Linked DNA regions of Mus musculus. The protein of the gene in region 1 interacts with the protein of each later gene in a biochemical or structural test. Links are inferred from orthologs where the notes say so. Each region holds a gene or a part of one and is shown on either strand. Other genes may lie near its edges.

Region 1 (16,944 bases):
AGAAAATATAAACGCAAGGCTGTGGGCCAGGATGTAGCCCAGTGCTTGCCAAGCATGTATAGGGCCCCAAGATTCAGTCCCCACAATGATAATAATTTTAAGCTGACTGTGGCTAAAACTTAATGAATGAATGAATGAATGAAATGAAGTTACAATTTTAAAAAGCCAAAAATAACTCACAGGAGCAGCCTTAGAAGGCACAAAAGAGTCAATGTCCTTCTTGATGATTCTGCCTTCTGGTCCCGTCCCTGAAGAAACACATAAATATCGCATATGTGGCAGCATCCCACTGGATCTCCAAGGTCAGCACTGTGACCCTGAAAAGACCCCATCTCCCTCAGGACATCAGCTTTGTTAACTGCTCATTAACCAAGTGCCCCAGACAAATACTAGTTTTGTTTGTTGTTTTTGTTTTTTGGAGACAGGGTTTCTCTGTATAGCCATGGCTGTCCTGGAACTCACTCTGTAGATCAGGATAGCCTCCAACACAAGAGATCCGACTGCCCCCCTCTCCTACTTCGCCCCTTCCGAGATTGACCCCCAATCCCCCCACCCCTGCCAACAGTGATTCTTTTAAACTACTGTAAATAGTAACCATTTTTCTCTCAAAGTTTTATCTAGCTAAATTAAATTCTTTATTTTCTTGCATTTTCTTTATTTTGTTTATTTCTTTGCTTTAAGTTGTGAAACACAGACATAATAATACTGATCATAGTTTATAATTGAAAAGGAAAATTAGCTGTTGACTGTGGTTATCTTAAAAAGCTAATCAAAACAAAAAAAAAATCAAAAACAAAAACCAAACAGCACCCCAACTCACTGAACCTTGAAATACTCTTATTTGACCATAAGGTACAATCTTTGTGTAAGGTTGGCAATTTTCTGAAGAAATAACCCTTTTTTACTTCAGAATAGCATGAATGATGTGCAACTGCAATGATCTCATCCTTAGAATCATTCATTTTCCACAATTTTCAGGTCTTTCACCCCAACCAAAACTAAATCAACCCATGTGACAAAGCAAGGAGGAAACACCACACTGTCTCTGAGACCGGCAGGCTCTCCCACAGGCTTTGTTTACACACACTCCCCTCCTTCCTCCCATCTTTACCTCAGGGTTAGGGTCTCAGGTTTAGGCTTAGGCCCAAGTACATCAGCCTGACCTTGAAGCAAATTCAGAATTTAGTTATTATAATACCTTTTACACTGGCCCACTTCTAGAAAAAAATTGGTCAAATTGATTCACCTTCCCCCACGGCAGCCTTTTAAAGGGTTCCCGCTGTGTGCACTTCTTCCCAACTCCTTCCCTTCGTTATGAAAACACAGTTGGCTAGAACTCTCTCTTCACCGGGAGCTCTAGAACAGAGGCGGCGGGACCTCTGTTAGATTCCCCACCCTTTAAGCAGAGAGAAACCATGACCTCCCCTGCCACCAGCCGGGACAGAGCTTGATGCCATACCCCATTACAGTTAGTGTGTTAGCCAGCAAACACTTTTAATTGCTTTGCCAGCTCCCCAACAAAGCACACGGGTGATCATAAGGCAGTAGGGGTAAAGGGAAGAGCTGGCTGGCAAGAGACACGCAGCACTCTGTGGGATTACGCAGCTGACGACAGTCACCTGTCTTATCTGTAGGGTGGAGATGACAGTGGCAGCCCTTGTTCAGAGCTATACTGTGAGAACAACGACACACACACACACACACACACACACACACACACACACACACGACCACTGGGCTCTCAACACCAGAATCCTCAGTTTCTTCCTCAGGAGTTAACGTTTTGGCTAAATTTCCTAATTACCGTGCCCCTCTATCTGACTTTTTTTTCTTCTACAATAGAGTTTTATGTTTTTCTTTCTCTTGCTCCCTCCTCCACAGCCCCAATAATGAATAAAGAAATAAATTTAAGTCCCTGAAATCCACAAGAAACACGTCTTCTCTTTCTAGTACTGTCATACACAGGTAAGTTTGGTCTTTGTCCCAGGCTTTTGGCTTGGGCCTTCCAAAATCTAGGAAATTCCCCATGTGGTAAGTATTTGCTTTCTCCAATCAAGCCTCTTTACGTCACACTAGTTTATGCTAACAAGGTGAGTGAGGGTGGGGCTTCTGGCTAAGGGACATCACTTGTTGTCTGAAGACCAAACACTTGGTTAGTGTGGGACCTTTCGATCTTCTTTCCATTGGCCCTCCCCTGCTTCCTGCACCAATCCCGCCTACAGGGAGAGGGGAAGCTAGACACAGGCAGGCCGAGCAGCCTTGTTTCTGCGCTCCCTGCCCTCCCTTTCCTCCCATGCTCCGTATGGTCCTCAGTCAGGCTTTGTTTGACTCCAGGCCATGGGCTACGGGTGGAGCGCCCTCTGCCAAAATGCTTTTCTCTGACCTTTCACAGGGCTGGTGCACAGATGACTCCTTGTCTGGACATGAGATCATGTATCACTCCTCAGAAAGGTCCCCTCATCCATCCTAAAAGTCGCCGCATCTGTCCCTGAGTCTTTCTTAATCCATCCTTAAGTCACCCCAGCTCTTAACAGTAGAGCCAGGATAGCTAATATGCTTTCTCTGCGCAAGCACTGCTCACTCATTCATCTTCACACCGCATTAAGTATTATTTTTATATACAAGTAACAGAGCCAGAAAAGGTGACACTGTTAGCGTAAGGCAGAGCTCACATTCAAACCTGAGCCTTCTAGCTCTGGGTCCCATCCTTACCACTCGCTAGACTTTTGTTACTTCATCCGCTCCTGCCGGCCAGTGAGGTCGGAACGTTCCCCACCTTACAAACAAGGACCTGATGCACAGGTGCTTCTCAGAACCATGTGCTTAGCTGCTCATAAAGGAATCCTTAACCCAACCTGCAGGAAAACAATACCAAGGTCCTTCAACTCACCCCTCTACCAAAATCCAGCACCACTACCTCTCGAACAAAAGACCCTACTAGTCCAGGTTCTGCAGGCACAATTACTAACTCAGCCCCTCTGCTCTATGTAATACCTTAAACTCGTCTGATATAAGCACAGATGTATAAAGAATGCACCAACAAACTGCAGCTTGGTGCTGAGTGAGAACCAGACTGAGGGCAACAATTGCAGATCTGAGGACAGCACGGGGTAATGGGGAAAATACAGAAATTAAAATAGGACCTGATGTTCAGGCCTCTAATCCTAGCTACTCAGGAGGCTGAAGAAAGAACATTGCAAGTTCAGGGCCAGCTTGGGCAATTTTTTTTAATTTTGAGATGCTATAACAGTACAAAGTAAAGAGAGGGGTAGGAATACATATGAGTGTTACAGTGCCTGCCTACTATGATACTAGGTTCCTGTTTAAAAAACAAAAAACAAACAAACAAACAAACAAACAAAAAACCCTGGGCTGTTGAGAAAGCTCAATGTGTAAGGATGTTACTGCTAAGCCTAATGACCTGAGTTCAACCCTTATGCATTAGGTGTCACACTGTACACAGAGGTCAGAAGACAAATGACAGGAGTCGGTTCTCTGTTTCTACTCTGTGGGTCCCAGGGACAGTACTCAGGTCAGCAGCAGCCAGCACTTTTACCTGATGAGCCAGTTTTGCTTACTGCTACACTCAGTTAACCTAACACTGGGATTTATTACACAGACACGTCTTATAACTCAACACTGCTCAACAAACACATTTGCTTTTGCCAACACTTAAGTAAGACAGGATAGAGACAAGGAAATTGTGGGGCTATGAGAAGGGAAAGGAACTCCTCCTCATCCTGAAGTAGACGGAGCCTCTCAGCACCTGAGAAGCAAGAATTCCAACATCCACATCTGTTAAAGGTGTTTCTCCTCCCAGTGATAAAACAACAATTTCCTAGGAAGCTCATCAAAAGCCCCATTTATAATAGAAGACTTGTATTATATGTAGCCCTTATGGCTCCTGGTGTTATCTATAGATTATAATTCCATCCACAACACCTCCAGTGCCACCCCAACAAGCCCACTCACCAAGAGGAAGAAGGAACAAGAAGAGAGCCACCACAGTGGTATATGGCTAAAATGGAGCATCTAATTGCAACTCTCCCCGCGGACTCACTATTACACTTGGGTTATGTCTGACCTTCTCTGACTGCCTCTTAAAAAGCTCATATCCAAACTTGGGTATAAATTATTTCCCAGAGGATATTTCTCTTAATGTCCATCCTTAAAATCTTCATCAAAAGTATCTTTTAATAAACAACACTGTCCTTTGATGTGCTTTTGATGTTTTTGTGAGCATGTTTCTTCTTTTCATTTTTTGTTTTGTTTTTAAAGAACAGGGTTTCTTTGTGTAGCTCTGGCTATCCTGGAACTCACTCTGTAGACCAGGCTAGCCTTGTACTCAAAGATAGGAGTGGGCCACCATGCCTGGCTCAGAAACACCTTTTTATTTTTAATAAAACCCCAACTCAGCTTCATTCTAACAAGTCCTGAAATTCTTGTCTGCACCAAAGGTACAAAACCTGGGTTTGCCTGAGTCCAGGTTCCTAAGATTACAGGAGCTCCTCAGAGCTCTCAGGGGAAATGTGAGGGACGCTTCCTTCCCTTATCACTGCTGTTGAAGATTTCCTATGAATAGAGGAGAGTTTGAAAAGGCACACAGCTTACATAGGCAATCCTAGGCAGATCGAATAGAACACGGTGATGCTTGCCTTCCGTGAAGGCAGCAAGGATGTCTGTCTCCTTCCACACAGGTATAGGTGCTGGCCTTACACACAGCATTTAACTACACTGTACCTGGATAACCCCTTTCTTCAGAAAGACACTTACCTTTAACTTGGGTGAGGTCAATCCCTTTCTCTGCTGCCAACTTCTTCGCAAGAGGACTAACGAACACCCTTCCCTTTGGTCCAGCAGGAGCAGCTGAGGGGGTAGGTGCTACAGGCTGGGGAGTGGGAGGAACAGCTGCCACCTTTGGGAAAAAAGTTACAGAGCATCTATCCATTCATCACTGCAAAGATAATCTGACAGAACACAGGTTCATATTTTATAATGGAAAACTCTTTATAATTAAATGATGTTATGCACTTTCCTGGCTTGACTAACATAAAAGACGAATGGCAAGAATATTTTCTGACAGAGTCAAAAACAGTTCATGCTAACTAGAGAGGTGTGGAACTAAAACTGACCTATGTATAACATACTGGCTGCCTGTCATTTCTTGTCATTTTTCCCTTTGAGACTATGCAAGCCACAGTGATCATCCTGCCACAGCCTCCCAAGTACCCAAACCACAAATACCTTGCTTCCTGTCCATTCTTTATTTCCTTATATTAACCTGAGCTCTGCTTTATTTAATCTCACTTCAGGATGGAAAATGATAGCATCAGCTCCCACGTTTCAAGTATCTTAAGGAATGGACCACCCCGTTCCCTGACAGCATCCGAATCAATGCGAGACTGTGAATGCAAGCTTCCTCTGAGGAAGTGTGCAGCTCTTCTAAACCCATGGAGGAGTACACTGGAGAGTGCAAGTGCATGATGCTACAACGAGTCATGCCACTTCAGGGCCCAAGGTCCAAAACACACTTCTTCAGCTACAACCACAAGTACCAGAACTGAGAGTGGAAACAGGTCGTTAGTTGAGCAACAGAAAATGTGGGGTGAAACCATCACCTCCCATGGACATGATAACACACCACTAGCAGGTCATGTAATTTACCTTTGTTCTCAGCAAGGCTTAAGATGTCGGCAGAGTAAACTACTGACCATCAGGTGGACAGCACGTGACACACGAGCACGCACGCGCATGCAAGCTCACTCGCACACATACACACCACAGATTAACAGGTACCGCCAGTCACTTTCCTTCGTGTAGGATCTGGACACCCAGGAACCTGAGCTATTATCTGCCTGAACAGACAACTCCCCAGTTCAGAACCACACCTACCGGGGGTGGGGCAGGTGGTGCTGCCTGTGGCTTTAAGCTGGTCACTTCTGTTGGCCTGTAGTCTGCAAATGCTGCTATATCTTCCTGTTTTTCTACTATGATACATAGTGGAGCTCCCAGAGGAACATCCCTTGTGCCTTCAGGGACCAGGATTTTTGCCAGATAACCTTCTTCTTGTACTTCAAAGCCTTAAGTAGAAGGAAAATCATTATGGGACTCAAGCCTCCACCATTCCTACACCCTCACTAGTGTTTCAGGTAAAACATTTTCTTTTCTTTTCTTTTTTTTTTTTTTTTTTTAAAGATTCGTTTACTTATTATATGTAAGTACACTGTAGCTGTCTTCAGACACTCCAGAAGAGGGAGCCAGATCTCGTTACGGATGGTTGTGAGCCACCATGTGGTTGCTGGGATTTGAACTTCGAACCTTCGGAAGAGCAGTCAGGTGCTCTTACCCACTGAGCCATCTCACCAGCCCAAACATTTTCATATTCAAACTACTAGCACTGTTTTTTGGCTTTGTTTTGTTTTTGACAAACTACTTAACTTTTCTGTGCCTCTATTTCTGTCTTTAACATGGGAACAAGAATAGCACAGTGAACCCTCTGACCACAGGTCCTGCATCCCTAAAATCCATTCGGCTGAAGGTGAATGTTACATTGTTGCTGGCATGTACTATGTAGTTAGGCTTCGGAGGTCTGAACTTAGCGCACACTTTTATTCTTGCAACTATTTCCTAAGTAGTCCAGTGTAACAGCTACTCACACAGCTCTGTTGTACTGGGCATTACAAGTAGCTGGAAATGATGATTAAAGTGTACAGGGCTAGAGGCATAGCTCAGTAATACAGGGCTTACTAATATACTCAAGGCCTGAGACCCACCCTCCAAATACTATGTCCACTTATTTAGGGAACTTGAATCTATAGACTTAAATCAGAGTGCCAACACATATACCAAGGAATGGCTGACCATATAATCCTTACATAAATGTTAATGGATTTAAGTCAATTAATGTTTTTAAGTACTTACCCTGCACAAAGTATAAATGAAAAATGCAGTTGGCCCTCCAAATCTATAAGATCAAAACAATTTGGGAAAAAAAGAAAAAAAACAAAACAAAACAAAACCCTGCACTCGTGCTGAGCTCGCACGAATGCCCTTCTGGAGCCAATCCCTTGTGGACACTGACTATGTCTGTTCTACCAAGACTGCAGACAGTGGCACATTCTAAGAGTTACTGAGAACGCCTCAAGGGTGGCTTTATGTGGCACTTACAGGACACTAAGATGGTATCAGCTAGACTGCTAGAAGTCAGAGTTACATGGAAGTCAAATTACAAGAACTAGCAGCAGGACGGTAACATGGGATCTCAGCAGTAAAAGTGTTCTCAGAGCTCCTCAAAGGCTATGCCTGGCATTACGCTACATTTTCCAGTGTTATGAAATACAGTATCACTGGGGGTCTCTGCATCAGCAGGCAAGAAGTTACTCCGCTACTGTTTCTCTCAACACTGAAGACTTACAAAGTAAAGGCCAAAGCTGAGTGTTTTCTTGTAACCACACCCTCAGGAGCCTGAAGCAGGAGGATGGTAGCTCAAAGTTAGCCTGGGCAACATGAGTTCAAGAGCAAACGAGATTATATAGCAAGGAGTTCTCTGTAAGGAAATAGCAGCGTGGCATGATGATGCATGACTTTAATCTTAGCATTCAGATCTCTTGTGACTTCCAGACCATCTAGGGTGAGTGAAACCCTGTCTCAGAAACTTACTGATTGATTTAATTTAATTAAAAACAGCAAAACCAAGCTACTGATAAGGGCAAGTTCTGCCTTTCAGAACTTGCTCTCTGCAGTTATGCTTCTTGATGGACAGACACATCTCTAATGAATTCTTCCATTTTCCCAACCGGGAATACTCAATAGAAGCTGTGCTGAAGATGGACAGAGGTAGGGCACATCTAAGGTTTGGCAGCAAGCACCCTTTACCCCACACCAAACCACCCTGCTGGCCCTTGCTTTTTCCTTAAGGAAGAATCATTTCTTCTAATAATAGCTATGAAAGAACCAGGCACGGTGGTACAAGCCTGCAATCCTAGCACAGTCTCATCTCAAAGAAGAAAAAAGAGGAAAGGGGAAGAGGAGAAAGAGCAGGAAGAGGAGGAGAAAGAGGAAGAGGAAGAAGAGGGAGAAGAAAAGAAGGAGGAAGAAAAACACTATAAAAAAGGTATAGTATGTTAAGGGGGGGTCCTTACTCTTTGATATCACTTGCCCAGGCTACCAAGAGAATGGTGACGAGCACTGTCTGTGCCCACTACTGCCTGATGCCTATGTCCTGCTCTGCCACTATGGCGTGGATGGGCCTTCTGCTCCTGGAAACCACGGAAGAGTGGAAACAGGTTCAGAACACCTGGGATTATCAATAGACACAAGCACAGTACATGACTGCATGGTGAATAAGTCAATAAAGGGGCACATGGAAATGAGAAAAAGACTGACATCCATGGCACTTTCAGATTATGAGACTAATCTACACCCTGGGTACTGTTTTCCCTCAGAGGCACCTGAAAGGCTTTGGTATTCTCCTGCCCTAGAGGGCATGACTATCTTCCTCCTCCCTCCTTCTTTTCCCATGTTTAGACAATGGCAGTGCTGGTACAACTTCTGAGTACCATAAAAATAAAGCCAAGAGAGTGAACCCAGGCCTTAGAATAGACCCTGACATATCCTCCATTGATGAGTACAGCTCAGAACTGACACGTGTGGCTGTGATGACCTTTTTATAAAATATGACCCAGGCAGCAAATCTCAGGACTGTAAATGTCACATTACCACTCACTCAGTACAAAAAAATGTACTGATGGCCATCCTCCTCACCTATGGTGGCCTTGTCGGTCTCTATCTCTGCCAGCAAGTCTCCTTCACTCAGCTTCTCGCCCACTTTCTTTTCCCACCTCTGGACCGTGCCCATGGTCATGGTTGGGGAGAGGGCAGGAAGAACAATCTGTGGAGACAAATGCCACACATCACTGCTTAACCAGGACGCATAAAAGCATTCAGGTAAGCGCATGCTTACCAACTATACAGTGAGACCTTGTCACCCATCACAAAGGTCTGTACTAATTGCTTTCCCAGTTAAATCAACCTTTAAAACAAGAGTGATTAGACACCCTAACCCATCCTCCAAAGTGAAAAGCAACAGGAAGATGGAAAGATTTCTTCCAGATGGTCAAAACAAACCTCTCTCCCACCCGCCTCTCTGCACAGACACACAAAGTATCTTTTCAACCAGGTCAGTGGTTCTTAATTTTTCTAATGCTGCTACCCTTTAATACAGTTTCTCATGTTATTGTTACCCCCAGGCATAACAATAGATCGGTTGCTACTTCATAAGTGTAATTTTGTTACTGTTATGAATCTAGTGTAAGTTTCTGGTATGCAGCTATCTGATGTGACCTATATGAAAGGGTCACTTGACCCACAGACTGAGAACCACTGATCTAGGTTACCACCAATACTTTTCATTCTTTTTTTTCTTTCCTTTTATTGAATATTTTCTTTATTTATATTTCAAATGTTATCTCCTTTCCCTGTTTCCCCTCCAGAAACCCCCTATCCCTTCCCCCATCCCCCTGCTTCTATGAGGCTGTTCCCCCACCCACCCATTCCCGCCTCTCCACCTAACATTCTCCTACACTGGGGCATCAATCCTTCACATGACCAAGGGCATTTCCTCCCACTGATGCCATCCTCTGCTACATATGCAGCTAGAGCCATGGATAGCTCCATGTGTATTCTTTGGTTGGTGGTTTAGTCACAAGGAGCTCTGGTGAGGTCTGGTTGGTTGACACTGTTGTTCTTCCTATGGGGTTGCAAACCCCTTCAGCTCTTTCAGTCCTTCCTCTAACTCCTCCATTGGGGACCCTGTGCTCAGTCCAGTGGTTGGCTGTGAGCGTGGCCTCTGTATTTGTCAGGCACTGGCAGAGCCTCTCGGGAGACAGCTATATCAGGCTCCTGTCAGCATGCACTGCTTGGCATCCATAATAGTACCTGAGTTTGGTGACTGTATATGGGATGGATCCCCAGGTGGGGCAGTCTCTGGATGGCCTTTCTTTCAGTCTCTGCTCCACACTTTGTCTCTGCTTTTCCTCCCGTGAATATTTTGTTCCCCCTTCTAAGAAGGACCAAATCATCCACGCCTTGGTCTTCTTTCTTTTTGAGCTTCATGTGGTCTATGAATTGTATCTTTAGTATTCCAAGCTTCTAGGCTAATATCCACTTATCAGTGAGTGCATACCATGTGTATTCCTTTATGATTGGGATGATATTTTCTAGTTCCATCCATTTGCCTAAGAATTTCATGAAGTCATTGTTTTTAATGGCTGAGTAGTACTCCACTGTGTAAATATACCACACTTTCTGTATCCATTCCTCTGTTGAGGAACATCTGGGTTCTTTCTGGCTTCTGGCTATTATAAATAAGGTTGCTATGAACATAGTTGAGCATGTGTCCTAGTTATATGTTGGAATGTTATATGTTGGAGCATCTTCTGGGTAGATGCCCAGGAGTGGCATAGCTGGGTCCTCAGGTAGTACTATATCCAATTTTCTGAGGAACCACCAGACTGATTTCCAGAGTGGTTGTACCAGCTTGCAACCCCACCAGCAATGGAGGAGTGTTCCTCTTTCTCCACATCCTCACCAGCATCTGCTGTCCCCTGAATTTTTGATCTTAGCCATTCTGACTGTGTGAGGTGGATCCTTTTCATTCTTACAGAACGATCTTGGTCTAGACAAACTGCTGAATTTACTGTGTTCTGCAATAAGCATCTTTTCACTCATGAGAAACCATACTTATTTCACACCACACACACACACACACACACACACACACATATATATATACATATATATAAATTAAGGACTAAAGATATGGCTAAGTGATTCAGAACACTTGCTGCTCTTGCATAGGATCTTAGTTTGGTTCCCGATGGGCCAACTCTCAATCACCTGTAACTCTAGCTTTAGTGAATCCAATCCTGTCTCCGGGAATACCAGCATGCACATGTCTACACACACAATTTTTAAAACTGAACATTAAGAGCAATTCTGGGAGCAAAGGATGAGGTTCAGTAGTAGAAGAGTAGCTGACTAGCATGCATGAGGCAGGACTAGAGGGAAAACCCACAAAACTAAATACCATTCTTCAGAGATAGAGGAACAATACATTGTATTTTTTTAAACTGTTAAAAAACAAAAGGCTTTCTGATGTGTGTGTGTGTGTGTGTGTGTGTGTGTGTGTGTGTGTGTGTGATGCATGCACAGGTGTATATAAGTGTGCAGTGGAGAAGCCAGAGGAGGATGTAAGGTATCCTGAGCTATCTCCCTCATTTACTTGAGAGTCTCTCACTGAAGTCAACAACAAGCCTCGCTTTCCAGCTCCCCCTTCTCTGCGCACTCTGGTTATAGAAGACAACTAACTTACTTCCACAATGACCTCTACACATTTAAGTGCACACTAAATGCATGTAAAAACAAATATCTTTATTTTGGACAGGTTTTCTCTGTATAACAGCCCTGGCTATCCTGGAACTCAATTTGTAGACTGAGCTGGCCTCTAACTCAGAGACCTGCATGCCCCTGCTTCCAGAGTGCTGGGATTAAAGGTGTGTGCCACCATGTCTGCAAGACTTAGAAACTCTTTAAAAATTATTTCTTGTTCAGAATTTCTTTTCTTTGTTGCACAATCACCAGTAAAGTATGAATGTGTATGTTTGAGTGTGCATGGGGGGGGGCAGTAGAAAGAGAAATACACTCATTTATTTATCTTTACCATCTCAAAGGATTCTTAGGACCCAATTCTAACACTTAAACACAGAGCAGGATAAAATGGAGAAAAGAGGTCTTATGTAACAAAATAAGGTTGCTGAACTGAAAGAAATCATCATGAAAGCTAAAGACCAGGAAAAATTTCATCATAAGGAATTGTTACCAATAGACTTGGAACGTGATTTCCAGAGAAGAAACTGACTCACCCAGAAAACTTCTTATAAAGTTAAGGAAAGGCCAAATCTTAATCCTTTAGATTTTACTTACTTCCAACATCAAGACCACAGAAAGATAAACAAAGGAAAACTCTAAGATCTAATACTGTGATTAAGTGCACAGGCTTTTGGCGTCTGGGTATGATTTTCTTTGGCTCTTTTTCCCCTGTTTGTTTGGCCCTATTCTAGTTTTGTTTTTTGTTTTTTTTTTAGATGTCTAATAAGAAGAAGGAAAGGGCATGGGTAGGTAGGGAAGCAGGGAGGACCTGGGGTGGGAAGCTGTAATTAGATTGTGTTTAGGAAGAAAAAGCACAAGATGGTTTCCTAGAGCTGATCTAGGTTGGTGGTAATCACATTTATGGCCAACAGCACTGTTAGAATGTTATCCTGTAGACTTATTCCATACTGCTCATTCTTTTTAAATGATTTATTTATATTTTATATGCGTTGGTGTTTTCCCTGTATGCATGTCTTTGTGAGGGTGCTGGGTCCCCTGGAACTGGACTTACAGACAGTGGTGAGCTGCCACGTGGTTGCAGGGAATCAAACCTGAGACCTCTACAAGAGCAGTCAGTGCTCTTACCACTGAGCCAGCTCTCCATCACCATCATACTTATTCTTTATTGTTATTTTTTCACTAATGACTATTACTGGAATACTTCATCTATGCTTAGAAGTAGCCCACTCTAAACCAAAGGAAAACTTCATCTGGGGACTTTCATTCAGCAAATAGCACCTGTTCTCTACTTAAATTCTACTTGCATAGGGGAAAAAGTCATTTCCGAAACCTTTCACATCGTTTGTGAAAGAGAAAAGCCAAGCATTATCCTGTATCCTGGGCTAAAGCCGAGAAAGGTTAAAGAAACTGTCCAGGCTCACACACTTAGAAACAACAAGAATAATTTTCACAGCTAAAATCTCTCAATACGGCTGAATGACAGGCACTTATAGTTAATGACACGTTTTCAGAGTACAATAGCCACCCATAGAGAAAAATGACAATAAAATAATTAATAACAAGTCACCAGGAGCCGGCACTCAGAGGCTGAGTCTTACCTGCATATGAGTAGGATAGGAGCTACCGGGAGCGCTTGCAGAAGGTGCCGCTGGGGCAGCAGCTGGAGCTGGGGCTGCAGCTGGGGCTGCCTGTGGGGCAGCTGCCGCCGCCAAATCCAATGTATAATTTTTAAAGGCCTCAATATCCTGAGGCCTGAAGAAAAAGAATACATAAATATAGAATTTATAAAGCAAATCCAATCCCTAACCTCCCAGCGAGTCCTCACATGTCTTTAACTTCCAATCTGAGTTGAAATGCTTTAAAAGCAACAAATGTTCACAAATTACAAAGATTTTTTTTTCTTTTTGTTTTTACTCACTTTTCAACTGTGATACAGATGATGGACCCAACTGGAACATCTCTGGTCCCTTCAGGAACAAGGATCTTGGCCATATAGCACTCCTCCAGGCTCTCAAACCCAACAGTGGCTTTATCAGTTTCAACCTGTTAGCACAAAAGCACTGGCTTAGGTTTGTACTGCCAAGAGGCAGTTAACTGGAATGTGTCTAGAAATCCATACGAAGATAAAACCCACTACCACAGACTTGAAAGAACGGTTTAAAAACATTTTGGGTAGAAGCTAGGCATTGCTAACATTGTAACATTGGGGGTGGGGGGGGATATCTCTGAGCATTGCAGGCCAGCCAGAGTTACACCGTGATCTCAAAAACAATTTAGCTAGCTGCTGACAACGTAGCTAACCAATCATCTCTAATAAATGGGGAGGTGGGAGGGGAGCTGCTTCTTAAAGAGAAAGAGGAAACTACCTACCAGAAGGCTAAGCTTTAGTCTATTCAGCAAAGCCACTCCCTTAGGTAAAATCTGCGTGTTTTAAGACTTACCTCTGCAATTAGATCACCCTCACTGATTTTTTCCCCTTCTTTTTTTTCCCAGCGGGCTATGGTGCCTGCCTGCATTGTAGGGGAAAGGGAAGGTAATGGAACCTGCAGAAAAAGAAGCATACATTTAAACAGGCATACTTAGCCCTCGGCGTGCTTTCATTCCACCCAAGTTCATGCAGAGTATTTACTGAGTCACATTTCAAACTGTTCACTGGAGATACAAAGGGAGATCTAGCACTCCAGAAATTCATGACTTTCAGAGGCAGGTTGATCCTCCAGTCAGTCTAGTGGATCTGAGAAAGCACGTGAGACTTCTCAGACCTTTTGCCCATAGCCGCAGGCTTAGACCTCTTTCAATAGAAAAGATGCCCACTGGGAAGGTCTTGGGCGAGGGACCGTAATAGATCTGGGAGGGAGCTGGCTGTCGGAGGCCTCTCAAGGAGGATTCCCCACGCCAAGGAGCGGGCTCTGAAGGACAACAGGCTCCAGGGTGGGTCACTCACCTTCTGATGCGGAGGGAGGCTGTAAGAGCGGCGGCTGGGCGACCCCAGGAGTTGTCGCAGCAAGCGGTTACGCGGGACAGTGCCGGAGCCGGAGCTCCAGCCGCACAAGGAGCGGACCCCATAGCGGGGGATCCCACTACCGCAACGGACCGCAGCGGGGCCAATCCGCGGGCTCCCGCATGGGGCCCCGGGGCCTTCCTTCAAGGCCGCCCACCGAGCCCTGAACCCATCCCTGGGCACAGCACTCCGCGCCCTCCGCGCACAGACGCGCCACATTACTGCCACCGACCCCCACGCCCCAAAGGCTCCGCCGTCTCCGGAGTGACCTCTCCAAGAGCAGCGCGGCTCTGCCGTCAGCCGCGCACTGCGGTCGCGCAGTGTCGTAAAAGCGGCTGCTTGGACGGGCGACCGGAACGTAGGGTTTCCGTGCCCCTCTGCGGGGGGGACGCGTCGGAGACACCCGAGAGGGACGGGAGGCTGCCGCTTAGGATCTGCGGTGACGAAGGCGCTGCGAGGCAGTGCGGGGGCGGTGCACGTTTGGGAGAAACGGGAAAGGCCCTAGGAGAGGTGTCGCAGAGGATGGGAAGTACGGACCAGGGCCGCTCTAAGGGACCCGAGAGTCGGACCGGCTGCAGCCTGAGGGCAGGGAGGCGGTGCCAAAGGGAACGACCGCCTTTGCTTTAAGAAAAAGCTGGGGAAAAGAGCCCGGGCTGACAGTAATGCAAAGCTTTAGGTCGATGGGTGCGGGCGCACCTTGGAAAGTTGGAGAAAGGAAAGGCCCTCGAGTGACGGGGGATCAGGGGGTGACCCTTGGCTGCAGAGCCCGCCCCGTGCAGGCTGTCCTAGGTCCCTAACCCACCGGAAACGGGAGCAGCAGGGTTTTCAGCCAAATGATGTGAAGGGCAGCCAAGAGAAAGGTACATTTTCACATTTCCAGTTAGTCACAGAAGACTAATTATATTTCCTCTATAAAGATACTTGTTTGTAAAAAGCAGTTTTATTACCCCCAGATTTCCACCGTATCCTCTTAAATAGCGAAAATATTTTAACACACACACATTCCTTTAATTATAGCATTACGGAGACAGAGGCAGGTGGAACCCTAGATTCCAGGACAGCCTGGTTTAATGCTGTTCATTGCCAGGCCAGCTTGGGCTACATACTGAGATTCTTTTTTTTTTTTTTTTTAAAGAAAGGTTTAAGATACAACTTTGCGAAAGTCGTTGTCGTGCTGTCCCGCAGTTCTGTGAATTCAATAGGAAAACAACAACAGAAACCTTTCTTAAACTATGGAGTAACAATGTGGGGTCAAAAGAAAAAAAATGGCAACAGTGAAAAGCTGCCGAACCCAGCCGCGCCAACCTAGGTTGTTTCTCACTACTGCTGCCTACACTGAATCCTACCGCGTCGCTGCAGCTGTGGCTGTGAGGACACCCGTGCCCTTTGTACTGCCATGCCCTCGGTGTCACACGAGGCCAGCCAACACTGCCTGAAACACCTTGGCACAGATTCCCCGTGTATGGTGTGATTCGCACTGGTTTTACTGTACAAAGTGTTCTGCTCTCACGTGAGCATAATGATTTAATTGCAGAAAGACATTTCCCACAGTTATCCCTTCTATATAAACATTATAGTAGTATAATCTTTAGGTTGAATTGTTATGAGTATTTGGATTTTAAAATTGCCGTGGCTGATTTGAATTTCATAGAAAATCAATCAGTGAATTTTGGTTTGAGATTAGGACTAAATTTTCCAGTAAATGTCTCCCTAGATTTTCCTATTCTATGTATATATATAATATATATATATATATATATATATATATATATATATATATATATATATTAAATTATGACATTATTTTCTGTGTATATGCTAACCAACTCCATCTCTCCAGACCAACACTGAGCTATCTTGCCAGCTCATATGGTACATATTTATCTGAAGCAGCATCCTCAATATTGACAACTATAAATCAACTCTATGTATTGTAGTAACTATTTAAGCGATTTTTTTTTAGACTGACAGCACAGTTCACACGGGTATCTCATTTATAGGACTAAACTATGTGTCCATCCTAAAAGAATGTCTATTGAAAATGGGTATAGACACAATGTAATTTTTTTTCAGTCACAAATAATGGGGTTTGTCATTCACAAAATGGATGCAACTTAATTAAGCAAATTAACTCGGTCTCAGATAAATATTGTATATTTTCCCTCATTTTCTATCCTAGTGTCACTGAGCAGCATCAACACTTGGTGACGTCACCTTTGTATGCTGTGCAGTCACGAACAGACCTTCTGATGCGGTACACACATCAGATTAAAAAAAAAACAAAACTTACTAATGTGTGAGGCAGATGAAGATCTTATGTGCTGTTTCTCCTTGTCTTCTGAATTAGTATAGCAGTAATCCTGCTGAGTGCTTGACTTTCAGTTATTGAGTAATGATTTATGTGCAACATTTATGCAATATGTATCCATTGGATGGGTTATGTAATTAGCCTTATCATTCCTGAACTGAAAGTGACATTAAATTAGGAGGAAGCGTGCTCTGAATGTCTACCAATTCCTCAGTGTACAGATGGTCAGAGAATACCAAGAACACAA
Region 2 (16,251 bases), on another chromosome or scaffold:
GCTCCCCAGCCAGTGGATCTTTCTGCCTGGAGCCCCCGGGCTTGAGGCGCAGTCTGGATGAGGACGAACCGCCGCCCTCGCCACTCGCTCGGTACCGGCCCCTGCACAACGCCGCCTCGCATGAGGGCCTGGCCGCCACCTCCGGCTCGCCACCACGCTCTGCACCCTCCTCCGACAGCTCCCCCAGCTTCGTGCGTCGTTACCCTCGAGCAGAGCCGCACAGCGAAGGTGAGCTCGGTAGGCGCGGCGCTGCCTGCCAACGAGCATCGAGCATCAGAATCGCAGCTAGGCCAGGCAGTTGGGGTAATACAGGGGAGACAGAAGGCTGGCTGGCCATCAGGTTCCCTTCTTCATTTACAGAAGCTTACTATATGCCAGACACCGCTGTGCCCATACAGAGAATAGAGACAGCCCTTGGCCTCTGGGGACGTGTAGCTTAGGAAAGAAACAACCAAATCACCCCATAATTACCGTATAGGTACAAGCTGTAATAAAAGCTATGCAGGAAATATGCACAGTTGTTAAGTGTCCTCACCTGACTGGAAATGCTTCCCTGAGGAGGCAACATTTGAGCCGAGATTGAAAGACTGGTTAGAAAACGGTCAAGATAAAGTCAGTAGTATGCCTAGCAGGCAGGAAACATGACAGAATACCAGATATGGTCATGTACCCTGGTTTTCAGTACTCAGGAGGCGAATACAGGAGAGTCAGAAGTCCAAGGCCACATAGGGAGCTCCAGAGACCCTGTCTCAAAAAAAGAACTAATTAATACTAATACCTTTGGCTGGGTGGTAGTGGTACATATCTTTAATCCCAGCCCTTAGGAGGCAAGAGGCAAGTGGATCTCTGAGTTTGAGGCCAGCCTGGTCTACAGAGTGAGTTCTAGGACAGCTAAGGTAACACAGAGAAACCCTGTCTCAAAACAACAGCAACAAAACCAAAACGGTCCTGCCTTCTCAGATGTAAAGTGCTTTTACAGTTTGTAAAAGGCAAAAGCCTAGGCTCCCATTAGATACTGTAAAATTGGCTCATCTCTGCTTGAAATAAGACACACAGACAGTGTCTTATCCTGGGTCACACAGCTAATGAAGAACCCTAGGGCCAAATGGCCTAATTCTACGTCAAGAAATGTCTACCCGACACAGGCGGCGGCAGGAGGCCAGCAGACCATTGCGTTAGCTGTTTTCCTCCCCTTCTCTTTCTAAAGATGACAGCCGGGATGCCAGCCCCCCTGAGCCTGCCAGCCCCACCATCGGCTTGGACAAGAAGACTCGCAGGAAATTCCTGGACCTGGGGTGAGTGGGGACAGATATTGCAAGTGTCCTTGGAGCTGTTGGGGTCAGAGCATCACAGTGGGCAGGTATGCCCTACTTCTCCCCCCCTGCCTCCTTCCAGGGTCACTCTCCGCCGAGCATCCACCAGCAGGAGCAGGAAGGAGAAGGGTAGCAACCGCCTGTCCATGGGCAGCAGGTGAGAGGTCCCCATGGCACCCACCCGCCCACCCACAGCTCCCACCCACTCCTGGTCACCCACACCATGCTGGATGCTTTCTCCACAGGGAGTCTGTAGAAGGTTCTGGAAGGACAGGAAGCTCCCCGTTCCTGCCCTTTTCCTGGTTCACGGACAGCGGCAAGGGCTCTGCTTCCTCGGGGAGTACCACCTCCCCGACCTGTTCCCCCAAACACGAGGGCTTCAGCCCCAAGAAGTCAGCTTCCCAGGTAAGCCCAGGTCTTCATTCCTTCTTTTTCTCCTTCCTTCTTCTCATCTATCCTTCCCTCCCTTCTTTCTTTTTCCCTGCTGAGGCAGTCTTACTCTGTAGCCCAGGCTGGCCTGGAACTACACAGCCTCTTGCCTTAGCCTTCTGTGTGCTGGGACTAGAAGAATGTGCCATCCTTCCCAGTGTAACCCCGGGACGTTCTTGCCCCACACTGGCTTCTAGGCTCAGGACAAGAACATACTTCATCGTGGCTTGGACTGGGACCCAGGTTTTTCTGGGACCCATAGTGTCCCTCTACAGAGCTGCCTGGTGACTCATGGCTTGCTTCTACTCTCTGGCTTCATTCAGTCATGCCTCGTGCGTTCGTACCCATTCGTATTTCATGTGTTTATACTGCTCCCTATACTCAGAACTCCTGTGGGAACACTGAGGCCCTCCACTGCTCACTCAGTCTGAGGAGCCCTTCTTCTTACTGTTCTGCCTGAGTCAGGTCTGGACTGTGCAGTGCCATCAAGAGCTGGCCATGTGCATGATGGGAAGTCTTGGAGATAGCGGAGATGAGCAGGACCCCCACGTAGTCTTCTGAAAGCTCCAGACCCTAGGCGATAGGAACCATCAACACAACCAATACTAATGTCTCCTTATGTTCACAAAGACCACTATTGTCTGTGGCTTTAACTGTGACTTAGGCAAGGTAGTCATTATTATCTGCATTGTACAGATAAGCAAATGAGGTTTGGGGAAAAGGGGACTCACCCACAGATGTGCACAGCTGTGTATGGTGCTGGGGCTTAGGGGAATCAGAAATCGTGGGATTCAGGGGAAAGGCCCGTCTGATGTGCAGCTTTAGTCTATAACCACCTGATAGTCTTCCTCAGTCCCTCCCTTTGTGCTGGTCCCAAGGGACACCATGCTGAGAGAGAGACAGCCCAAGTCCTCACAGAGATTCAAGGCCATTTGGGGGTACCCACCAGCCAGGATGCAAGAGTTCTAGGAGAAGGATTCTTTTGTAAAAGACTTATTTACGTATTATGTAAACAAGTGTTCTGCCTGCGTGTATGCCTGCAGGCCAGAAGAGGGCGCCAGATCTCCTTATAGACGGTTCTGAGCCACCATAGGGTTGCTGGGAATTGAACTCAAGACCTCTGGAAGAGCAGCCAGTGCTCTTAATGTAACCCGTGAGCCATCCCTCCAGCCCAGGAGAAGAATTGTTATGTAACAGGGACACAAGACCTAGCCTGGGGGGAGGGATTCTGGTAAGCTGCCTATAGGGAACAGCACCTAGCCCCCTCCATTCCTCTTCATCCATCAGCCTAACTTAATGCTAGGACTATGTCCTCTAGGTAGTCCGCTCCCTCCTAGAGGGCTCAGGTTCTGATATGTCACTTCAGTCATCACAGCCTGTGTCTGGCTGTCTAGTTCTGAGTTCCTGGTCCTGGAGCATTGAACGGCTGCTGGTGCCTAGTGTAGTATTTCAGCTTGCTCTGGTCAGGTGATGGGCTTGGGGTGGGAGGTGGACTTACTTCTCGGCACACGTCCCTTTCCATGTAGGAATCTACCCTGAGCGATGACTCCACACCCCCCAGCAGCAGCCCCAAGATCCCCGGTGGTCCTCGACAGGAGACCAAGTGTTCCTATCCCTACCACACGCTGTCCCAGTCTTCGGATGAGGTGAGTGAGGCTGGCCTTTGTGCCTGCTGGGGGGGACCCAGCCGCAGGCCAGGCTTCCTGTACTCTCCCCATCTCTATCAGTTCCTGGATGAGTCCCTCCCTGCCGTACAACACTGGACCAGCCAGCAGGTGGGCCAGTGGCTACACAGCCTCAACCTGGAGCAGTATGCTGCCGAGTTTGCTGCCCGGCAGGTGGATGGGCCGCAGCTCCTGCAGCTGGACGGAAGCAAACTGAAGGTGGGTCAGAGTGCAGAGGTGATGATCTTTCAGATTGAGATAGCTTTTAGGGACAGAAATCACCCTTTGTCCTGACTTTTGACCCTGACTTACCTCCTGGACTGACCTGGCATTGGCTCTCCCTGTGTAGCCTCTGACCCGGTGTCTGACCTCTATGCAAGGTACTCCTTTCGCAGTGTAGTACAACACCTCCATCTGACTTGAAACTCAAGCCTAATCGCTTCTATCTGACCTTCTAGCTCCAGCCCGGGTCTTTGGGCTGACCTTGATCTTTGGACTACCATCAAGGCCACTTTCTTGGCCAGCTCCATCCCATATTCATTCTCAGATCCTGGATACCACCAGGCTCTGGCGTGCTAAGTGGACAGTGTGGAGAGGTGGCCTCCAATATCTGCAGGTTCCTGGGACTGAGGGAGAGAGAGCCCCATAGGAACTCTCTTATTTATTTATTTATTTATTTATTTATTTATTTATTTATTTATTTATTATATGTAAGTACACTGTAGCTGTCTTCAGACACTCCAGAAGAGGGCATCAGATTTCGTTACGGATGGTTGTGAGCCACCATGTGGTTGTTGGGATTTGAACTCAGGGCGTTTGGAAGAACAGTCGGCGCTCTTAACGGCTGAGCCATCTCACCAGCCCCCCATAGGAACTCTTGAAACGGGAAGGGACCTAGCCGATAAGCCACTTGACCTTGAACAAGTCACTCTTCACTCTGAGGACCTCAGAGGTTGAGCAGGATCATACTAAGGCTGAAATCCTAGGTTAAGGATCTGGCGCCAAGGACGGGGTCGCAAATGGCCTAGTGCCAGAGAGTTGTCATCTCTGACCACTTGCAAGCCATTCCTCCTACCTTGGGACCCCGATCCCTAGGCAAAGGCCAGACTTCCGAGCAGACTCTAGTGGGTCTGTGGGGCAGCGTTCTAGGCCTCTTTCCTTCATTCTGGATTTCTTCCCAGAGCCTGGGGCTCAGCAATTCGCATGACCGAGCACTGGTGAAGCGGAAGTTGAAGGAGCTGGCAGCGGCTGCTGAGAAGGAACGGAAGGCGCAGGAGAAGACCGCAAAGCAGCGGGAGAAGCTGCGGCGCCGCGAGAACGATGCCAAGAAGAGCTAGGGATGGCTGGCGGGGCTGGCACCCCGGCGCACTTGCAGCCACCTACATGGGCCTCACCAGGGAGGCAGGGTCCAGGCACCAGGCTCTCGGAGCACGCGGCCCCCCTCTCACCCTGTTTGGACTGAGTCCTCTGGAGGGAGACCCCAGGGGGGAGGGCCCAGTAATAAACCCAATTTCGAGGACTTGTTTGGCGCAGACTTCCAGGGGGAAGCAGGTGGCAGATGAAGAGGGCAGAGGCCAGGAATGCAGCAAACGCGGAGCCCAGAGGAGCCTGGTTCAGGTGGAACCTCCGCCCTCTGACTAGAGTGGTCCGAGCAGGAAGAAATCTAGCAGGAGAGGCCCTACCATGGCCAGGATTCCTAGGTTTAGAGAGTAGCCTGGGCAACCCGACTGGAGACAGGAGACAGCTGTGTCTCCTCACCTTTTGAAGGTGGCTGTGTGGTGGGAGAACAGATCTCCCCAGAGAGGCCAGTGGGCAGTGCCAGTAGCACTCAGGGTGGATTCCCAGACACCTCCTCAGAGGAGAGAGAGAGCAGGGCAGGATAAGCTGGCCTCTGTAAGGAAGGCAGAGGGGGAGAAGGGAGCTCTCACTCACTCTCTCTCTCTTCCCCTCCCTCACCTGCAGGTTCCAGCACACAGGTCTGCTCCTCTCCCATTGAGTCCCTTTCGCAGAGCTAAAATCCACTTCTTCGGAGAGTACTTGAGCCTTCGAGGGCAGGAAAAATTGAGAGCTGTTGGGGACACGGGTCACTCCCCCAACTAGTGTCTAGATGGTGAAGAGGCACACCCTAAGTGTGGCCTGCATGCTGCCAGATTGAAAGGGTCCATCAGCTTCCCTGGTGCCCTGGGTGTGTCAAGGCCTCAGAGGCCTGGGGCGGATGGACAGACACTGCTGGCTTAGGTTTGCTAGGCTACAGAGGGGGACTGGGCCAGCCCCGCGTGGGACTGGCACATGTCCTTTGTAGGGCGTGTTCAGAGATAGAGGGTCCAGGTGCAATGCTGACCCAGCTTCTTGGGTGCTGGTCAGTTACTACTAGGCCCAGGTTTTAGATGACAAACCCCCACCCCTCCCAGTTTCCTGGAGAGGTGAACAGGACCTGCATGTTAACTCCCTCTCTCCTGCCTGGGAAAGTGGCTGAAGGCCAGGGCCCTATGTTTGTGCTCAGTCACCTTCACTGGAAGAGGGGGCCTCATAGGGAAAACTAAGGTATCGGGGCACTGGCACTTCCTAGACTGGGTGGGGAGGGTGGAGGCTCTACTGTCCCCGAAGCCGTGAAGAGCCAAGTGTGCCCACCTGCATGTGAAGGGGGAAGATGGCTATCAACTTCTTTCAATAAATACTTACCACACACCAGTGATCTTCTTGTCTGGGACAAGGGACTAAGCTACGCCTGAGTGGACGGCCCTGCCTGGTGGCGTGTTCAGCTGGCCTAGGTCCTGAGTACAGTTAGTCCTAGGGGACCAGTCTTCACAGGTGCTTCATGTGTGGGCTCCCCCTCCCCGAGCAAGGAAGCCAGGCAGCAGTCACATTTCATCTGTTTACTGTGGATGTCACTGTCACCATCCCAGCCACTGGGAGGGCACACGGCTTTAACCCCTGTGTGTGGAGGGGAAGGGCAGGGCTTCTGAGATTACAAAACTGGCTATGTACATAGGGCTGTCCTAGGGGTGAGTCACTTGTGCACACATAGTGGGCATAGGGGTGGGGTGGGGTCTGAAGCTCAGGCAGCATAGGGTGGGTGTAGACTGGGCAGGGGAGGTGTGCACGTGAGGACATGCTGGGTGGGCAAGGCTTTAGGAAGCAGCTAAACAGAAACATTGCTAAGATCACCTTGGGGGCAGCTTACTCCTAGGCCTGCCCTCTCGGTGGGCCCCGGGTGAGAATCGCTACCTACTCTCAAGTTCCCAATTGCAACTTCATACCATCCAGAGTAGAGATAGAGGCTGCAGGATCAGAGTCAAGGGTGGACCCTATCTTCCCCCAGTCCCTCTCCAGACTTGAGGGCACTCCATCCTTCTTAACATTGACAAAGAACCCAGCCCAAATGTGCCTGTACAGTGTGTGGGCATAAGGCAAGCGGAGCAGCCACTTGGAAGGCCAGGACTATGCAGGCAGTGAGGGGGAACCAGGGCTTCTAGTAGAAAACAGACAGTTCTGATCTTGGGAGAAGTGTCTCTGGGCCACCCCATCAGGGAGAGCCATCCCCAACCCTCAAGCATCACTATGGAAACCGGGTTCCAGGGAAACCCCCTAGGGTTTCTCCACAGAGACATATTGGCACTTAGGGACCACCACAGTTGGGCCACTGAGATTTCTACAAAGACAGATCTGGCCATCAGGGAGACCCAGTTTCACCCCTTGTACCCTAGGGGATAGATAGGGAAGGTCCCTGTGGTGGCTGGATTCAGAGGTGGCAGCATCCTACAGGTGCCAGGGAGGGAAGGCCCCTAGCTGACCCGATACGTCGATGTGTTCTTGGGCTCTGTGCTGGGCACACACCAGTCGCCGGCCTCCTGGATGGTCTGGTAGTGGCGCCAGGCAGACTTGTTGTAGACAGGCAGGCGCTCCACTGAGTCCGTGGACAGGGCCTAGAGAGCATTGCCATCAACCTCCTGCTTGCCCACACCCCAGCTTACTACCCTCTCCCACCCAGGCCCTGATGGTCTCCATCCCTGGAGTCCTAACCCAGGTCTGAGTCAGCCTCATAACCAGGCATTAGCCTGAGACATTACCCCAGACCTGGAAAAGCCCCTAAAAGAGTCAGCCTTCTGTCTCTTGCCCTGGCCCATTCCATGAAGCTGGCCCCTCCACGATCAGGGGGGCAAAAAGGATCAAGAGGGAGGGAGGCTTTGCTGTGTGATCCCTATTAATCACCAAGGTACACTCGGATCAACTGAAGTTCAAGACCTGTAAGGTTCCCTTCCTTCTAGCCTAGGGTTTCTCAGAAGAGGGGCCTTACTCACAGACCTTAGACCCCCTGAAGTTGCCTACCACATTAGTTTAAAGTTACAGTGCTTGAGGAGCCAAGGCTCCTCTGAGTCTTGGAGAGCCAAAACTGAGTTTGGAGTCAGGAAGGATGAGGGATGGGTAGAAACCCGTTAGCAGCCAGCTTGCCCCTGGCGGGCCTCACCTTCAGATAGATGACAGCATCTGTCCCAAAGCCCTCCATAGAGAAAAGCTGCAAGTCCCCCTGGAAGTACTTGGCGTAGAGGCGGGAAATGGGGAGTCCGTACCCAAAGCCAGCCTACAGAGGAGCCACAGGTCATAAAGTGAGCCAGGAATGCTGGACTGGGGACAGGCAGGGGCGCTGGAGCAGGGGTGGAGAAGGGACATTTCTGAAGCAGATGGGAGTAGGTGGGAGGCAGGGGGACTGCAGAGGATGCATGGAGAGACGCTGGTCTGGGCGGGAGAGTTCTACCCAGGCCGGTGGTTAAAAGCTCCTTAGAGTCTATTCCCTAAGCCTAGGACTGCCTGTTCCACAGGAGCAGGGACAGAGGCGACAGCAATTAGCAATGCGGTGGAGAAAGAGGAGAGAGGGCCAAGGAGAAGTGACAGCTAAACAGATGGGCGGATGATCAGCAGGCAGGGGGCTATTAGCAAACGGTAGAGAGAGAGGAGGCCCTGGAGTCACAACAGGAGACTGTTGTCACACCACACAGCCATGGGGTGGGCTGTGGGGAGGGGGATATGCTTGGGAGTTTAAAAAGCAGGAGCCAGGGGACTGGAGGAAGGCGTCTATCTCACCAGCGGGGTACCCCCAGTGCCAGGCTGGGGTGTGGGAGCTGTGGAGTACATGTAGCTGAAGAGCCTCTCGATCTTCCTCAAGGGGACACCCCCGCCTCGGTCACTCATCTGGGAGACCAGGGGGCATGTGAGATACCCTCCAAGGTTATGTGCTCCACTCCTCCCTCTGCCCCCCGCCCCACCCTGTAACCTCCCATGGCCAAGTCAAGGGTCACATACTTTGATGGACAGATCTTCTTCACCGAGGGCCACCATAATCTTGATGGGGGGGAGTGTGAGGCTGGACTCGTGGCTTTCCACAGTGGCCCGCATGGCATTCTGGGAAGGGAATGAAGGATGATGCAGTGAGAGAAGCCAGCCCCAAAGGTACCTGCTGAAGCTGGGGGCCAAGAGCTGACCCTGCCCAGCCCCTACCCCCACCCCCGAGAAGGGTAGCCTCTTACCTTAAAGAGTTCAAAGAGCATGTGGTACAGGTGGGAAGGGACATAGACCATGTGAATGGGCTGGTTGGCGTTGGTGGCTGTGGGAATGGAGACCAGGGCCAGGAGTCATACAGCAAGGTCACCTTCAAAGCAGACCTTCCCTCTCTCCACAGCTGTACCTAGCCTAGGTGGCTAAGTGGCTGCACCCACTCCGAGCAGCCACAGCTAGTAACCCTTAGAAGCCCCAAGTTCAACCCTGCTTCTTCCTTCCTTCCAGGCATGGGAGGCCTGGGTACCGGCTCTGACCACCGGAAGCACCTCTCGATGAAGATGCTGGTTCTTGGGTTGGGGGCATCACGCATCACTCTCCAGTCTCCGGCCTGTTACCCCACACCCTGCCCCTCCTATCATTTGTGAGGTTTTCAAATTAGCTGGTGTGTTTGCATGGTCAGTGGTCACCTATCACAGGTCTCAACCTCCCTAGCACCAAGAATGTACGCTCTGTGAGGACAGGGGCCTTGCCTGTCTTCTTTACATGTTGAGTATATCAAATAGTGAGCAATTATCCAACAAATTGGTAATACAGAGCAGCTCCTCTCTAGGGGGGTCTGACCTCCTAGCTCCCCTACTCTGGCCTGCCTGGGTACATGCACACATACATGTACACACATATACATACACATACACATACACGCGTGTAATCATATGTGCACACACATGTAGATACACATGTACACACACTCATTTGCTTACCATTGACTTCCTGGATCTCCAGGTCAGGGGAAGCCATGTAATACTTGTCACACAGGAGCTTAGCCATGTCATAGGCGTCTGGGAGGAGACAGGACCACTCAGGTTATGGGAGGCTGACCCAGCAGCAGTCCCTTTGGCACTGACGTGAAAACTGACATGCCCCCCCCCCCCATCTGCTGGGAATGGATCACCTTCTGACCTGGCTATTTGGGAGGGGTCCCTGGAGCTCCTTTGTGGGCCAGGCCTATGGTGGGGGGGCTCACCTTTCACCACATCAGACACGCTGCAGTTGGGATCGATGCTGCCAATGTGTTTGGGGTGGGCTGGGTTGGTGCTGCCATCAAAGATGAGGGCTGTGGGCAGAGGGAAGGGCGCGGTTGGCAAGTTCACAGGATCTAGTTCTCCCTCTTCCTAAACACCCCACTCTTCACCTCATCTGTAGGCCTTTGTATGGTCCATGCTAACCATGCCCCCCAAGTCTTGTTTCCCTCTAGCTTGGGCCTTCCAGAGCTTCTGCACCTTACAGCAGTCCTTCCATAGTCCTCTCCACATCATACCCTGTTAAGTGTATGTATATGTATACATGTATATATGTATGTATGTGTATATGCATGTATACATGTATGCATATGTGTTTATGTGTGTACATATACATGTTTGTATATATGTATATATGTATGAGTATATGAATTATGTGTGTATCTATATATGTATGTGTTTATATATATGTGTGTATATATGTATAAGTGTATGTATGTGTGTATATGTGTATGTATATGTGTATTTATGTGTGTATGTATGTATACATGTATACATGTGTATGTATATATGTGTGTATGTATATGTGTATTTATGTGTGTATGTATGTATGCATGTATACATGTGTATGTATATATGTGTGTATGTATATGTGTATTTATGTGTGTATGTATGTATGCATGTATACATGTGTATGTATATATGTGTGTATGTATATGTGTGTATACATGTGTATTATATATGTATGTATATATGTGTATGTATGTGTACATGTGTATACATGTGTGTATATGTGTGTGTTATGTATGTATATGTGTATATGTATGTGTGTATGCATGTGTGCATGTATGTATATATGTATGTGTGTATACATGTATGTGTGTATGCATGTATGTATCTGTGTGTGCACATATGTATATATGCATGTATGCATACATGTGTGCATGTATATATGTGTGTGTGCATGTATATATGTGTGTACATGTATATGTGTGTGTATATATCTGTATGTATGTATGTGTGTGTGTGTGTGTGTGTGTGTATGTATTTTCTTTTTTTTTTTTTTTTCAAGACAGAGTTACTCTGTGTAGCCCTGGCTGTCCTGGAACTGACTCTGTAGACCAGGCTGGCTGTGAATTCAGAAATCCGCCTGCTTCTGTCTCCCAAGTACTGTGCATCACCAAGCCCAGCTTTAAAGGTACGCTTTGCTTTCATATCTTCACACAATACTGTAAGATAACTTCCATCAGCTTGCTTTTCTTAGAACATAAAGAACTCACTTAACTTAGCTCTGCTTTGTCAACCAGCATAGAAAACTCTGGACAGGAAAGGGTAAATGATAAACCGTTTTTGAATACAATGGAGTTCTTAATGTGTTGGGTGTGGGTATGGGTGGGTGGGGGACAGCATGTGTAAATGGCTCACAAGGTGGCTCAGTGCGTAAAGGTGCTTGCAGCCTAGCCTGACAACTTGAGTTCAATCCCCAAGGCCCAGATGATGAAAAGAGAGCGTAAACTGCAGGATGTCCTCTGCCCACAACATGTGCACATGTGCATAAATAAATAAATATAATTGTTTCAGAACACGTAGCATGTTTGACATTTACAAATATTTACAACAACAGAATTTCACCTCAGTGTTGCACTTTTTACTTTACTTTGGGAACCAATTACTTTTTAAATTTTCTATTTACTTAATTTTTTTGAGGTTGGCCTCAAACATATACTATTTTCCTGCCTCAGCTGCCCACGTGCTAGGGTTATAGACACATGACTTAAGCCACACTCTTCAGTTCCCAAATGCCACTCAGGCCTCTGAGCCCAGAGGCTGAAGTGGGGAGCCTGCTTTCTTGTGGGGGCGGTGCCCTTCTTGGCGTGCCCTGCCGGGCCCCTTGCCCTCTCCGAAGCAGCCAGGCAGGACTCACTGTGTTGATTGATTAGCATTCGGATGGAGATGCGGCTGAGGTAGAAGCGGTCCAGGAAGTACTGGATGTTCTGGTTGGAGACGGGGTCATCTCCATAGGTGTCCTTGTACTCCAGCACTCCCTGTGCCATGGTGGGCACCACGTCATTGTGCCGGTTCCGGATGGTGACCAGGGCATCTGTGAACCTTCAGAGAAGGCAGACACTTGCCTCTACCCAGTCTCAGGTTTGGGGACACCCTGGCTCTCCATTATTCCCAATGGCCTATCAGTTCCTTCATTTTCTCCTCCCCAGACCCACAGACACACGGAAGCTCACCCACTGGAAGCCCACCACTACTGTCCCAGCTCTCCATCCATCTTCCTGTTTACAGCTAAAGTTCTCGGTTTCTCTGAAGGTTTGTTCTGGGGGCAGGGCTCCCCCACATCCTCTTGCTATACTGATAATTAGCATTCTCGTCTCTCGCAGCAGACCTGGTTTTCCCAGAAGTAGCCTGTCTCCCCCCTTTCTTGGCACATCCCTGAAGGCAGGGCCTTTCCCTGTACCCAGCTGGCATTCCATCCTTGTGGCCCTGACCAAGATGTCCTTGCCTGCACCTGCCTTCTTGTCCCTAAAGAGGGTGCTCACTCACTGGCTTAGAGTCCGGTGGTCCTCGGGGTCTTTGTCCAGGAATTCCATGATGTCCAGCAGACTCTGGACATACCTGTGTGAAAGCAGAGAAGTTCATAAGCCCAGCTGAGACTACACAATGTTCCCTCTCACCCCTCAGATGCTATGGTAGGTGGCGCACAGAGCTGAACAGGCTGACAATCAACACCCCATTCTATCCGCTCCGGGTCTCCCTGACAACCTAGTAAGTTGTCCAAGAAAACCTTGAATTTGTCAGTTCCCTTAACAGTGCATGTCTTTGCTCCAGAACCCGATTAGCAGCAACCTTGGGAGGGTCCAGAAATCACCCCCTCTCTAGAGGCTGGAGAGAACAGGGGTCTGAGGCCCAAGTGTCCTACAGTAACAGAGGGCTCAGACATCTACCTGCCTCGCTGAGCCCCTTTATTGACAAAGATCCTGGTATCTCCATAGGGGGCTGAGGCTTCTAGTGGACAACGGGTGCTGCCAGCAGGCTAGCTGCTGACACAGAACCTCTTCCCAGAGTGATCTGGAACCTGCCTCGGGAACCCTCGGTTTAAAAGGTGAGTAGGTGTGGTTAGCTCTGTCCTCAGGGAGGACCAGGGAGGCTCATTCTGCTCTTTGAAGCCAATGAGCAGGGAGGGTGTGGGTGAGCCCTGCTGTCCGTACCACCTCTAGGCCTGGTGGGTGGGGCAGGCCTCCTCTCCAATTAGGAAAGGTTAATGAATAAAGAACGGGGGTGGGGGGGGAGTTGAGCCCTGAGCTTCTGCACGTGAGGTAGGGCTGCCTGAGGCAGTAGATGGTGCCAATCTAATGTCACTGTCCCCTTGCCTGACTGAGCCACGACCTTAGCTTCCCCTCCAGGCATGCTCCAGCCTGAGTCTTATTCTGGAAATGTGAACTGTGAGCCTAGGGCAGAAACACTTCTGGTCTGAGGGCTGGGAGGGCTACCTGGAGTCCTGTCATGGGGAGCCCCTGAGTCTCTAGTGGAGACACTAGGTTAGGACCTATTCGAAATCACCCAGAGCTCTGAGAGGAGAGGAAGGAATGGGCCCCGCAGCAGTGTCCCCACTGGGTGGGAGTACAGCCGAGCCTTGTGGAGCTCCAGGGCTCCTGCCACCAACAGGGCTGCCGTTGCTCTGGATCTCACCCCGGCCTCCCTTTCTGTGTAGAATGCCCTGCTCTTTGCACCCCACAACTGCTCTTTGCTGGTGCCGCTGGGTTCCAGTGTGGCCCTGGATTAGCTGCGGCACTTCTCTGGGCTTGTTTTCTCACTAGGAAAGGTGGGAGTTCTTATCCTTATCTCTCACTGCGCAGTGAATGCGCTTGACCGATGGCCACTCAAAACCTGTCTCCAGCTGAGCACACCCACTCAGCTCCACTACTGCCGCGCCTTAGGCTATTCGGCGCCGCCGGGAGCAGGAGCAGGCTTGGTCTGGGGCTCCTTCCTCTTCGTCCCAACCAGAACCTAACACAATATCTACGGGGGTCGCTGTGGATGGGATAAATGAAGAGGCCAGCTTCCTGACAGTCTCCCTTCACCCCTGCCCAGATACCTGCATCAGGAAGACCTTAGTCTCCTTAGACAGGCATGGCAGCTGGCGTTCACTGAGCTACTTCTGTGCCCTCATCACTGCTGCCTATCTGGGCTCAGAGGCCCACACAGGGCCTTTGATCACTAGTAGGTGAGGGGACTTTGAGGGAGAGGGGACTTGGGAGAGAAGCTACAAGTGTGAATGTGTATGGGGGGGCGGGGGAGAGGAAAGGACAGAGCAGTTGGAGGGTGGGCCACATGACTCCTCCTCAAGATCCACGGGGGTGGGGGGCAGGGCCCCAAAAGGCCAGAAGCAGTAGGCTCTGTGCTTGCCCAGAGGTGGTGGATGTGGGTGAGCCGTGGGTGAGCCGTGGGTGAGCCGTGACTGTTCCACCTCTAGGCCTGGTGGGAGGGGCAGCTCTCCTCTTCAACTAGGAAAGGTTCTCAGGAGTAGGATGCTCTGTGCACGCCCAGAGGTATAAACAGGCAGGGTCCTAGCTTCCAAGGCCGGGCAGGGCTGTAGAGTGAACTTTCAGGAGAAGACATAGAACTGGTGACATGGCCACTGCCGTGGAACAAGGGCCACCTGGATCCTTTGACAAAAGTCAAAACTGTCTGGGTTGCTGTGGGGGGATACTGGAGACTGACATCCCTGCCTGTCCCTCAAGGGGCCATTTTCCATAGGGAAAAAATGCTGGGTGCTCCTGATTCTCCAGGGAAGAACAGGGGAGGCTGCTTCTGCTCAGGGCCCTTGGTAGCAAGCCCTAAGGTGCCCGTGGGCCTGGCCTTCCATGTCACCCTGGGATTGGGATACAACTAGATCCTCCAGAGAGAGAGAGACACTGAGGTAGGGTTATGCTGACCCTTGGGTAGCCCCTCTCCAGAGCCAGGGAGAGGTTAAGGCACAGTATGAGTCCAAGTTGAGAGGAGGCAGCCTAGAGTCTAATCTACCCCCCTCCTTCTTGGTAAAATCTAGTGTCTCCAATGCCCCGGTATAACAGAGACACACACCCACTCCCTAGCCCATACCCTCCAGGGAGTGGAATGCAGGCCCGAGGGGAGAGGCGGGTAGTAGAACTAGAAGAGGGAGGAGGGCACGCAGCCACCTGCAGGCACTGTGTGGGAGCAGAGAGATGGCTGAGCCACGGGAATAAGTGTGTAAATGGAAAGAGTGTGCGTCTGTGGGTGTGTAGCAGCATCAACAGCTGCCGCCCACGGACAACAGTGTGAACCAGACCGCAGTCCTGGGAGGGAGGAAGGTGGCTACTCACACAAAGGGCGAGGGCAGAGGTAGCCCCCATCTGGAGTCACTCTGTGAATGGGCAGTGGGCTTGGGTTTGGACACTGGCTGTTCACTGAAGGCCACTGGGATGCTCCAGCCCAACTGCAAAATGCACTTCACAGCCGGAAGCTCGGGGCTCAAGGTTGGGTAGGGCTTAGCTTTAAAATCGCCTTGGGGATCACTCCAAGGGAGACTACTGGGTCAGGTGTGCTGGTGTACTGAGGAACCGGCTAGTTTAATGCAGGCTCCACCTCTTGTCTATGGACCTTCTGCCCCTCATTCTGCTCAAGACAAGGGCTTGCTGGCTTTTGTGGGATGGGAGTGGGACTCTTCACAGGCAGGGCTTGGGGTCCACATACCATACCCTGTGGACAAGCCAGGGAGAAGGATGTCCACTCTCACACACATACATACATACCCACCGAATCATCCGCTCCCACACACCCCTTACAACTCTACAAAACCCAGCGACAGCAGTGGCTCACTGGCTGTGTTTGGGGAAGCACCCTCTGCCTATCCACGCCTCTTCGGGTGGTCTTCCTCCCGAGAGGGTCCACTGGATACCCCTGTGCACCCTGGCATCACTAGGAGACATTCCACTCTGTAGGTGAGCCCTACTTACCCCCAGGCTTGCATGGGAACGTGGAAATCATTGCCCTGTGACATGACCCCATACCAAACTTTCCTGTCCCTCAAATGCAGCCTCCAGAACCCATGGGCCTGAATCTGAGTCCCAGACCCACCAGGACTCCCTAACCAACCTTAGCCAAGATGCCCCACTTCTTGAGCCTCCGTCTCTCATCTGGAGATGAGGAGGAGACTCGCTAGGGGATGCCATCCAGATTACAGGACCATCTGAGTTAGCAAACAGAGGGGAGCCTGATACTCCACGAGCCCTCAGGTGTGTTAGTCTTGGGGCGGGGGTGTCTACCCTGTGTTCTCATTGCTGTGTTGCCTCTGAGACC

What was found.
Region 2: the proteins of Dlat (region 1) and Pdk2 form a complex in vitro, tested with the Homo sapiens proteins (2 studies listed by BioGRID). The link is inferred for Mus musculus from reciprocal best matches to the Homo sapiens genes DLAT and PDK2.

The regions. Positions count from the first base shown.
Region 1 is NC_000075.6:50,644,859-50,661,802, forward strand, and holds the start of Dlat (dihydrolipoyllysine-residue acetyltransferase component of pyruvate dehydrogenase complex, mitochondrial), read right to left. Parts: upstream 14,923-16,944; 5' UTR 14,609-14,922; coding exon 14,333-14,608; intron 13,932-14,332; coding exon 13,830-13,931; intron 13,432-13,829; coding exon 13,307-13,431; intron 13,141-13,306; coding exon 12,987-13,140; intron 8,891-12,986; coding exon 8,764-8,890; intron 6,081-8,763; coding exon 5,893-6,080; intron 4,916-5,892; coding exon 4,774-4,915; intron 249-4,773; coding exon 181-248; intron 1-180.
Region 2 is NC_000077.6:95,019,991-95,036,241, forward strand, and holds the end of Pdk2 (pyruvate dehydrogenase kinase, isoenzyme 2), read right to left. Parts: intron 14,152-16,251; exon of another isoform or gene 13,668-14,151; intron 13,034-13,667; exon of another isoform or gene 12,767-13,033; intron 12,753-12,766; exon of another isoform or gene 12,613-12,752; intron 12,547-12,612; coding exon 12,475-12,546; intron 12,241-12,474; exon of another isoform or gene 12,138-12,240; intron 12,031-12,137; coding exon 11,846-12,030; intron 11,120-11,845; exon of another isoform or gene 11,020-11,119; intron 10,017-11,019; coding exon 9,927-10,016; intron 9,742-9,926; coding exon 9,664-9,741; intron 9,009-9,663; coding exon 8,932-9,008; intron 8,807-8,931; coding exon 8,708-8,806; intron 8,597-8,707; coding exon 8,489-8,596; intron 7,989-8,488; coding exon 7,875-7,988; intron 7,333-7,874; coding exon 7,192-7,332; 3' UTR 6,268-7,191; downstream 1-6,267. Other genes in the region: Samd14 (sterile alpha motif domain-containing protein 14), read left to right, coding at 1-228, 1,208-1,295, 1,396-1,470, 1,559-1,718, 3,269-3,388, 3,470-3,625, 4,588-4,743. UniProt on the Homo sapiens protein: Kinase that plays a key role in the regulation of glucose and fatty acid metabolism and homeostasis via phosphorylation of the pyruvate dehydrogenase subunits PDHA1 and PDHA2.